Saccharomyces cerevisiae S288C: one gene and its partner. The main gene of each other region encodes a partner of the protein of the gene in region 2 in a complex. Each region holds a gene or a part of one and is shown on either strand. Other genes may lie near its edges. A codon is read from its position in the direction of its gene.

Evidence for each region.
Region 1: the proteins of MSN5 (region 2) and GSP1 are in contact, whole or in part, in a cryo-EM structure (PDB 9D45), measured with the Saccharomyces cerevisiae proteins. Residues at the interface, in NP_010622.1 of Saccharomyces cerevisiae: Leu13 (codon at 4,139), Ile16 (codon at 4,130), Tyr17 (codon at 4,127), Pro19 (codon at 4,121), Asn23 (codon at 4,109), Arg26 (codon at 4,100), Gln27 (codon at 4,097), Gln30 (codon at 4,088), Leu33 (codon at 4,079), Asp34 (codon at 4,076), Lys37 (codon at 4,067), Ile58 (codon at 4,004), Tyr61 (codon at 3,995), Phe62 (codon at 3,992), Lys73 (codon at 3,959), Arg103 (codon at 3,869), Tyr104 (codon at 3,866), Glu107 (codon at 3,857), Thr111 (codon at 3,845), Ile166 (codon at 3,680), Glu169 (codon at 3,671), Leu174 (codon at 3,656), Arg242 (codon at 3,452), Glu245 (codon at 3,443), Arg278 (codon at 3,344), Asp329 (codon at 3,191), Glu332 (codon at 3,182), Pro336 (codon at 3,170), Ile434 (codon at 2,876), Gln437 (codon at 2,867); in NP_013396.1 of Saccharomyces cerevisiae: Arg31 (codon at 1,070), Phe37 (codon at 1,052), Lys39 (codon at 1,046), Ile45 (codon at 1,028), Gly46 (codon at 1,025), Val47 (codon at 1,022), Glu48 (codon at 1,019), Val49 (codon at 1,016), His50 (codon at 1,013), Asp64 (codon at 971), Trp66 (codon at 965), Glu72 (codon at 947), Gly76 (codon at 935), Leu77 (codon at 932), Arg78 (codon at 929), Asp79 (codon at 926), Gly80 (codon at 923), Tyr81 (codon at 920), Ile83 (codon at 914), Asn84 (codon at 911), Arg108 (codon at 839), Arg112 (codon at 827), Val113 (codon at 824), Glu115 (codon at 818), Asn116 (codon at 815), Val126 (codon at 785), Asp127 (codon at 782), Val128 (codon at 779), Lys129 (codon at 776), Asn145 (codon at 728).

Annotation. Positions count from the first base shown.
Region 1 is NC_001144.5:720,271-722,945, forward strand, and holds GSP1 (Ran GTPase GSP1), read right to left. Parts: upstream 1,161-2,675; coding exon 501-1,160; downstream 1-500. Other genes in the region: Sec63 complex subunit SEC72, read right to left, coding at 1-100; ATP14 (F1F0 ATP synthase subunit h), read right to left, coding at 1,729-2,103. UniProt on the Saccharomyces cerevisiae protein: GTP-binding protein involved in nucleocytoplasmic transport. Required for the import of protein into the nucleus and also for RNA export. Essential for cell viability.
Region 2 is NC_001136.10:1,139,331-1,145,342, reverse strand, and holds MSN5 (karyopherin MSN5), read right to left. Parts: upstream 4,176-6,012; coding exon 501-4,175; downstream 1-500. Other genes in the region: translation initiation/elongation factor MRX8, read right to left, coding at 1-251; chromatin-remodeling protein SWR1, read right to left, coding at 4,867-6,012.

The DNA.
Region 1 (2,675 bases), on a different chromosome or scaffold from region 2:
GAACATTTATTTGATCGATATTAGTTTCGGTAGATAGTGCAACAACAGCATCACTCGCAGTGATCAGTTTACTGTTTGCATTGTATTCAAGGGTAACCATGGTTGAATAAGCTTGCTTTGGTATGCCTTTAACGCAAGTTGAAGGAGACGTTTCTTTGATTTTAAGGCTATTGGTTTTATGTTCAAAGATATAATCTAATTGTTACGTGTGCTCCTACATCCGTTTGAAACGATCCATAAACGATCTAAAAAATATAATATTAGACAAGCCAAATACGTTTAAATATACTTAAATCACAGCATATTCACATTCAACTATTTGTTATATATTTAAATCTGTTTTATAAAAGACAGGAGTACCAGTTAGTTTGTGTTTTCTTGTTGCAATTATAAAATCTTCAAAATCATGTGGATTTTTATTGAATTTCTATATCGAGATGAATGTAAATATGTATACAGTTTAGGGTAGGGAAAAAAGAAAGCTTGTTCTCGTTTGTCCCTTATAAATCAGCATCATCTTCATCAGGCAATGGCAAAGCAGTAGCTTGTTCCATTTCTTGTTGGTATTGTTGCATCAATTGTTCATCGACTTGGACTTCTGGTGGGGCTAAAGCTGGAGAAGCAACAAATTCTAATTGTGGGTTACCAGCCAATTTTCTGGCCAACCATAAGAAAGGCTTTTCAAAGTTGTAGTTGGACTTGGCAGAAATATCGTAGTATTGCAAGTTTTTCTTTCTGTGGAAAGTGATAGTCTTGGCCTTGACCTTTCTTTCTTTGACATCGACCTTGTTACCACACAAGACAATTGGGATGTTTTCACAAACACGGACTAAATCCCTGTGCCAGTTTGGAACGTTCTTGTAAGTAATTCTGGAAGTAACATCGAACATGATGATGGCACATTGGGCGTTAATGTAGTAACCGTCTCTTAAACCACCGAATTTTTCTTGGCCGGCAGTATCCCAGACATCAAATTTAATTTCACCGAAGTTGGTGTAAAAGGATAAAGGATGCACTTCGACACCAATGGTGGCGATGTACTTCTTTTCGAATTCACCGGTCAAATGTCTCTTGACAAAAGTGGTCTTACCAGTACCACCATCACCGACAAGAACTAGTTTGAATGTTGGAACTTCACCGTTAGCAGCTGGGGCAGACATTTATAATATAAATGAGTTTATTTGATTTTCCTTTTGTACTGGACTAAAAATCGATTGAGGGAAAAATGTTGAAGGAGCAGTTCTTCCTGTTTAAAAACGAAACAAACTTAAAAGGTGAGGAAAAGTTGATCATACAGTTCAAATTTTTCAAAATCTTCGCCAAAGAAAAAAGAAACGAAAATTTTTTTTCTATCTCGGTGGGATGAGCTTTCGTCCAGAGCGATATTATCCTAAGGTGACGAACCACGCATGTCCTTCATAAACGGATCATTATTTATTTACCAAAGAAGCGTAGGTCATACTTAGAAAGTAATAGTTATTGAAATAAAAGAATAGTAGTAATAGGAAAGATAAAGACGTGTCTATGTACAATTGTATTTTTTGTTTAAAAAATAAATTCTGCATTTTGTGTGGCTGATTACAAAGAGTGCGTAGTGTATTTTGCTTTTTCTTTATTGTACTGGATTCGAATATAAAAAGATGAGAGGAAGAAAGCCAAAAATAATGATCTTGTTCAGCTTGTGGTTCTGTTTGTTTTTTCTTCGACAAGGAGGATGCTATGAAAAGTTCAATGACTTTCTTTGGTTTCCTCAGCATCATCCAAAACTAGCCAATCCTCTTCAATTGGCTCTGACTCACCCTCTTCAGACTCTTTAGCAACATGAGCAGTTTCTACATTTTGCTCGGTGTAAGCCTTTAAAGCCTCTGGGCCTTGAAGTTCCAATTCTGGTAGATTTGGTTTTTGTGGTGGGTTCCAAGGCTTAACATTACCTTCAGCATCTTGCAAGGTACTTGGAGCCAGTTTGGTGTCTTTTAGTTCCCTCAAATACAAATCTTGTATGACGTTGTAGGATATTCTTGTGGTAGTGAAATTTCTATTGCACAGTCTCAATGGCAGAACTGAAGCATTGAGCAGTATTCTTCTGGAAGCGATAGGGAACATTTTGATTAGGACTGGTACGCAGACGGTTCAAGTTTGTATGGACTGGTGACTGGTAGATGAACCTGTATATAAGTTAACACCCCTTCCTTATAACATCTGAGCAGTGGGTTTTTTTTTTTTTCTTTGATATTGAGGACAAAGGAAGAAGTTGGTTGGTCGGGTAAAAGAACTACGCTTTTTTTATGATGCATAATTGGTTCGTGTATGGCGATATGAGAATCGGCAATCAAATACAATACCAACATACTTGTTTTACATAATAACAAGCAGTCTGGACAAGCTTGATAGACTAATAATCTTGAATGATGTTTAAATGCTTTTTCGAGGAAAGCGGCATTTGAAGATAAGCGCAAGTTCTCTTACAATAAGCTCGATTTCAATAAAAACAAGTGTGTATGCACAAGAGGCAACAGAACGTCAATGCCCAGAAAATGAAGTATTTCGGCTTTTCCTTCCAATGCATTTTTTTTTCATTAGAACGCTGATCAGCTGTGTATAGTTTAATTTTATTCTCATTTTCATTTTACAATTTTAAGAGCCGCCGAGGCCTAGAACGAGAAATCCGTTTCCCG
Region 2 (6,012 bases):
TTAACCTTATTTATATCAGAGTTAGATGGCTTTTCGTAATGTATGTTAAAAACATCGTTTAGTTTTAGCCAATTCGGAAGCCTTTCTTTTGGCCTACTATTAAGTTTCTTTTTAAGAGCTGTCTTGGGAACTTTTTTTTTAGCTTTTTCAACAGATAATTGCGTGGCTAGCGTTGTTCTTTTAGTGTTAGCAACAATGTTTTGTATAAAAGCCGCCGGTGTATGCACGTACCTCTTACACAGTTGTTCCATTGCCAATGGTTTCCTATTTCGCTAAAATATTAGGGAATATGTGAAGAAAAAATCTTCAGAAATACCTTGTTCAGACCCACATTAAAACGCTTGATTATATGCATATTTACCGGCTGCCGACTTTCATTAAAAAAATTGCGAATACAGAATTTTTTTTTTCACAATAATTACAATTTTTAGCACGATTCAGATGTCTATTTGCTTTCTCTAATTTCATCTACACATCTACGTATATATGGCACCTTATTATCAGTTGTCATCAAAGAGATTACCCACAGCACCGTCTTCAATGTTCGGATCATCCAGCATGTCTCCGTTTTCTTTATTCTTCTTAATTAATCTCTCATTTGCCTTCTTGAGGATAGCTTCCCTTTTCTCTTGTCTTTTTCTCTCATCGCCTGCATGGTCCACATTACCATCTTCTTTCCCACTGGTGGATTTAACCCAATCTATAAAATCAATCATGAGTGCCCTTTGTGTTTTGTATTCGTCCACGCTCCTTAAATTTCTGTATAACTCATCAATATTATAACCATTAGATATCTCAAAAAGGAACGCTCTAGCAGAGGGATATTCTTTGCACAGAGTCAAAAAAATCACAGTGAAAGCATATAGTGCCTCATGGAAAGAATCCTTAAACGCACTATTACACAGCACATTTAGCAACAGATTTTTCATCACTTCAAATGTGAAATATTCATCCACCGTGTTGTTTTGATTAAGGACTGAGGTTAAGCAGCATTTCATTACTAGGATGGAGTTAAATGAACATTTTGTATCCTTGAAGGAAATTAAATGGTTCAAAAGTTTCAAAAATGGAGCAAGGGTGTTTAAATCATTAAATATAATTTTTCTCATCTCCATTTGATGGTTATTTAGCCTGCTTTTAGCACTGTTTGGATTGGCATTGCCTTGACCAACACAATCAATTACTATTCTAACAACAACTGTGGTTAGTTGTCTCAACAAATTCTCTTCCAAAATTTCTTCAGTCATTTGATCATCGTCAGTTGGAACTGGGTTCATGTCCATATCATTCATATGCGAGGACCATTTCTGACATAGCAGCAGGTCCAGGATTTCAAATAATTTAGGCAAAAATGCGGGCATGAATTTCCCCAGACAATCTTTTGGACAACCTTTTAATATAGGACGAATGGCTATATTCATTATGTGTTTCCATCCATGTGTTGAAACTCCAGGGCTTATCTCATTGCTACCTGGCTTAAATATGGCAATAGAGTTCAGTAGTAGGTCGGGCGATTCGTCCAAAAGGTAAAAAACACTACCAAGTGATGATATGGCACTTAAAACAAGTAGAGTGTATTCCCTTGTATACCTAATGATGTGTCCTACGGAGTCGGCGAAGTCTCGTAAGGTTTGCATCGCTTTCATATGTTCATCAATAAACTCATCCTTTGATTTATTTGAAGCTCCGGCCTCCCAAAATCTTTCAATAGTGGAATACTTGACGAAGGATTGCACAACCGTAGGTAATCCTTTCCAATTATCTGGATCGTGGTAGGATTGCAATTGGTACAGTAGTCTCGTGATGTAAGGTAATATTGGGACAATCCTAGGTCTCCACAGATCTTGTAGCATTTTGAATTCTTCATCTGTCTTTATACTTTGCATTGAATAATGAATGAACATTCTTGTTGCACGAACAGGAAACAAGCTTTGCCAACGTTTGGTCAATTCCGACTTCAGCTCTTTACCCTCATCATCAATTGGAATTGATAAAAGGTCACTATTTTCGTCGATATCACGCCTCTGGAAATATTCTGCGATCTGAACAATACCTAAGCGTTCCATAAACCAATGCAAATCAGAAAGACCAACAACTGTTGTTTTATCAGACCAGGCTAAAAGTTCTGGATCCACAATAGCCGCAAATCTTTCCTCTTTCATATCTAATGAAGACTTCAATACAATGATCAATAAGAAGGATTTGAAGGAAATTTTTTCATGGTAAGATAAGTTGGGCATGATTCTGGCAATGACACTTTCAAGGTCTGGGTATATTTTTTTCAGAGATTCGGGCATTAATAAAGCCATCCTATTCAACTCGATACCACAAGCATATCTCAAATCTCTAACTGCGTCTGATTCAGCGCCTCTCTCTTCCAAATTAATTTCTGGATAGTCCATCGTGGCGCTTGTTATGATTTTTTCTAAAAGTGTGAAAAGCACATTATCTTTTAACATTGTCAAAAAAAGTGCAAAATTTTGGATTTGTTTCTTCAATAACAATGGTTCTCTTAAATTTAATGCAATTAACTGGTTTGACAAAATTTCCAGTTTTTGTAATATGGAATCTAGTTTTTCGTCATAATCATCTCCTGTTGGATACCAGATCTTCCATCTTATACAACCATTGATGAAACATTCAACAATCATGTATTGGGAGAGGGCACCTAAATAAGGCTCTAATTTATGGTCCAAAAATGTGGAACTTAAGACCTGCTGACCAAATGGAGAGCTGAAATAATTGTTTAATCTGTTGTTCAACCAATCATAAGTAAGGTCTAATTCGACGCAAGAAATCAACCTAATGATGTCTCTTATTCTTTTCCTATAAGTGGAACAAAATGTTTGAAATTCGGACTTGGATTGAAAATCAATCTCCGCAAATTTTTTGGAAATATGACCATCAATCTGTTCATAATAGACTAAAGCATCCGCGGCAAACTGTAGTAGATCAGGAATGACATATTTCTCCAGCTTGGGTAAGTATTCATCGTTTCGAAGACAGGTACACCATAGGTCTAATGTTAATCCGCTAACGATTAAGCTTGGGTTATAAGTTGTCTTTAATACAAGCTTAAAATATTTTTGAATTTGGCCATTTGTCTCCTTAATCTTTGGGACACAAACATAGAGACAACTGATCATATCCACGAACTTTTTAATTATAGGATATTTCGTTTCATCTATATCATCTGTAGGATCAAACAACAAGCTTTCATAAACGCTATCTAATAAGTCCATATTATCAAAAACTCGATCTATGGTCATTTGGTAATGGCTTTCATTACTATAGGGACGGGTCAACAGAATATGTATCGAGTCTAATGCCATTGACTGCGCCCTTGGGATATTGCTGGATAAACAAGTCAATAAGGAGGATAACACGTCATTTCTTACAATGACCTCTGTTAATGGCCAGTTTAAACACGTCTTCAGAGTTTCTAAAAGCCTTATGATGTATTCAGAATTATTCTGTTGTAATGCATTATTCAACTCTGGAATCCAAACAGAAAACCAGCCCTCTTCATTAGCTTTAAATTTGGTCCATTTATCACTGAATTTGTATTTTATTGCGAAAACTTCAATAGGGCAAACAATCATTACACATAAGGGTTGAATAACCGTCATCCTTTTCAAAACAATTAGGTCGTCCAACAAGAAAACATCTTCAAAAAGGATTCTGAAAATTATTAATGCTAGTTCTCTTGACGATTGATTTATGTTCCAAAGTTCGAAAAGGTTATTGTCCATGTCCACCCAAGATGTGAGTAACTGTTCTTCCGTAGGGTTTGTCTGCTTAAGAGCCTCACCCCATGTTCTTTTTGCCACCTCTACCCATAAAGTGGCTAATTTTTCCTTAATATATCTGGTATCATAATCTTGCACCCCAAAATTAAGTTCCATGACCCATTTTCTCAGGGCCACTCTTTTCCCCTCGTCATAATCATTCCAGTTTTTCTTCACTGCATGGTCTAGTAATCCTAGTCCAAAGTATTTCAATATAGAATTAGTGGGGTTTTGCAATGCAATTTCGTAGCCCCAAAAGGGCGATTCTGAGCATAATTTCACTTCATCTAAAAATTTCTGAGCTTCTTGCCGTTGAGAATTGTTAGACTTGGGGGAGTAAATAACATCTAGTGCGCTAACAATCTGAGAAGCGCCTGTGGAATCCATTACTTTTCTTCCAATCAACGTTAGAAAAAAAATTTCAGATTCTAAAAATTCAAAAAGTGATTAAAAGGAAGAAAACAAAATATACTATAAATAATTTCAATAGTTTATCACAGTAACAATTGCTACACGAATGTAAAGAGTGAATATGGTTTTTAATGGCTAATGCAATGACACCTTACGTTCTCGCCTTGTTTATTTTTCTGTTTTGCTCTTCTTCCGATCTACAAAACTTGAACGGTTGCAACAAATAGGGGGATCTAATCAGGGTGTACTTAAAAGAACGGCTCTTCTACAGGCTCAACGAATAAAGATAGGCTAAAAACACACACGCTCGTCACTCCAGCACCTCTGTTCAATGGAATCTTGCTCTTAAAACTCTTTGACAAATATTACTACATCAAAAGCTTAGTACTCTTGAAGTCTCTTTGGAAAAACCAACCTTGATCGCGCAGCAATGTGGCAATGCCCCTCCGCTGTGGCGCGCCGCCATCACCCGGTAAATAGAAATTGGTGACCAAGGAACAATGCCATGGTGAGTACATTACCATAAAAACCAAGAGGCGATAGTGTTGTCGGAAATAATAATACAATTTGTTGATTCATTATGGCTATATATCATTAAAATATTCACAATAGGTATATAGTCCGATTTGGACAACTAAGGCAGCGGTGAAGAGTAGAACCTGGTCCTTCAATAATAATAACCGTTGGCAATAAACCTGATCATGTACTCGTCAACATGGGCAGTGCCCTCATACTCATCAAGTTCAGCATGATTTTCTTCCTCTTCATTAGCTGCTTTTTTTTCTGTGCTTTCGTCGAAATCGTCATTGTCAATTTCGACTTCTCTCATGGCTAAGTTTGCAGCTTTAACATCATCCTCATCTTCCGCTTGCGCAAGAAGTCTTTCCAGTTGTCTGGGATCTTTGGCTGCCACATCTGCATCTGCTATTAGTGGTTTATCTCCACCTGAAGCATTTTCGGGCAATTCGGATCCCAATAAATCTCTCACCGAAAGTTTGCTGAAATAATCTGTTGTGAAGTCACCCTCTTGAATAACAACATTATCCAATTGTCTTTTTTGGTTGGCTTTTTTTAAGATATTGCTTTCTATGGTATGTTCGCTGACAAATCTGTAAATATGCACATCTCGAGTCTGTCCAATTCTGTGACATCTATCTTGACACTGTTTGTCCATGGCTGGATTCCAATCTGAATCGTAAAAAATAACTGTATCTGCCCCAGTCAGATTGATACCTAGCCCTCCTGATCTACTTGATAGGATAAATACCGTTATTCTTGAGTCAGTGTTGAATCTCTCTGTTAGGATTTGACGGTCTTCGATCTTTGTGGCACCATCTAGTCTCATATACAAATAACCATGATAGTTTAAAAACTGTTCCAGAACGTCCAAAACTTTTGTCATTTGTGTGAAGATAAGTGCCCTATGTCCATTGTCCTTCAGCTGCTGTAATAAAATTGCTAACTTCTGCAATTTACCACAATCGTATTGAAGCAGCGATTTGTCCGGGAATGCGATTGTTAATTTGGTTTGCAGTTGGTGTAATGGGTTGGATACTTCAAAACAGTTCTGCATTACCTTTAGCCTTGTGTTTTCGCCTACCGAACTGTCATCATTTAATCCCAATGCCAACTTTCTCATATCTAGTGAGACGGCACTTGGGGTTAACACTGCAAAGGTATCTATGATCTTTCTATTATCCAATACCCTGGTTTGCAAGGGTTTTATTAGTTCATTATCAATAATGCTTGATTTATCATATTTAACCCTTCTATCTTTCGTTAATAGGTCAATAAGGTTCTTTCCGAATATGGG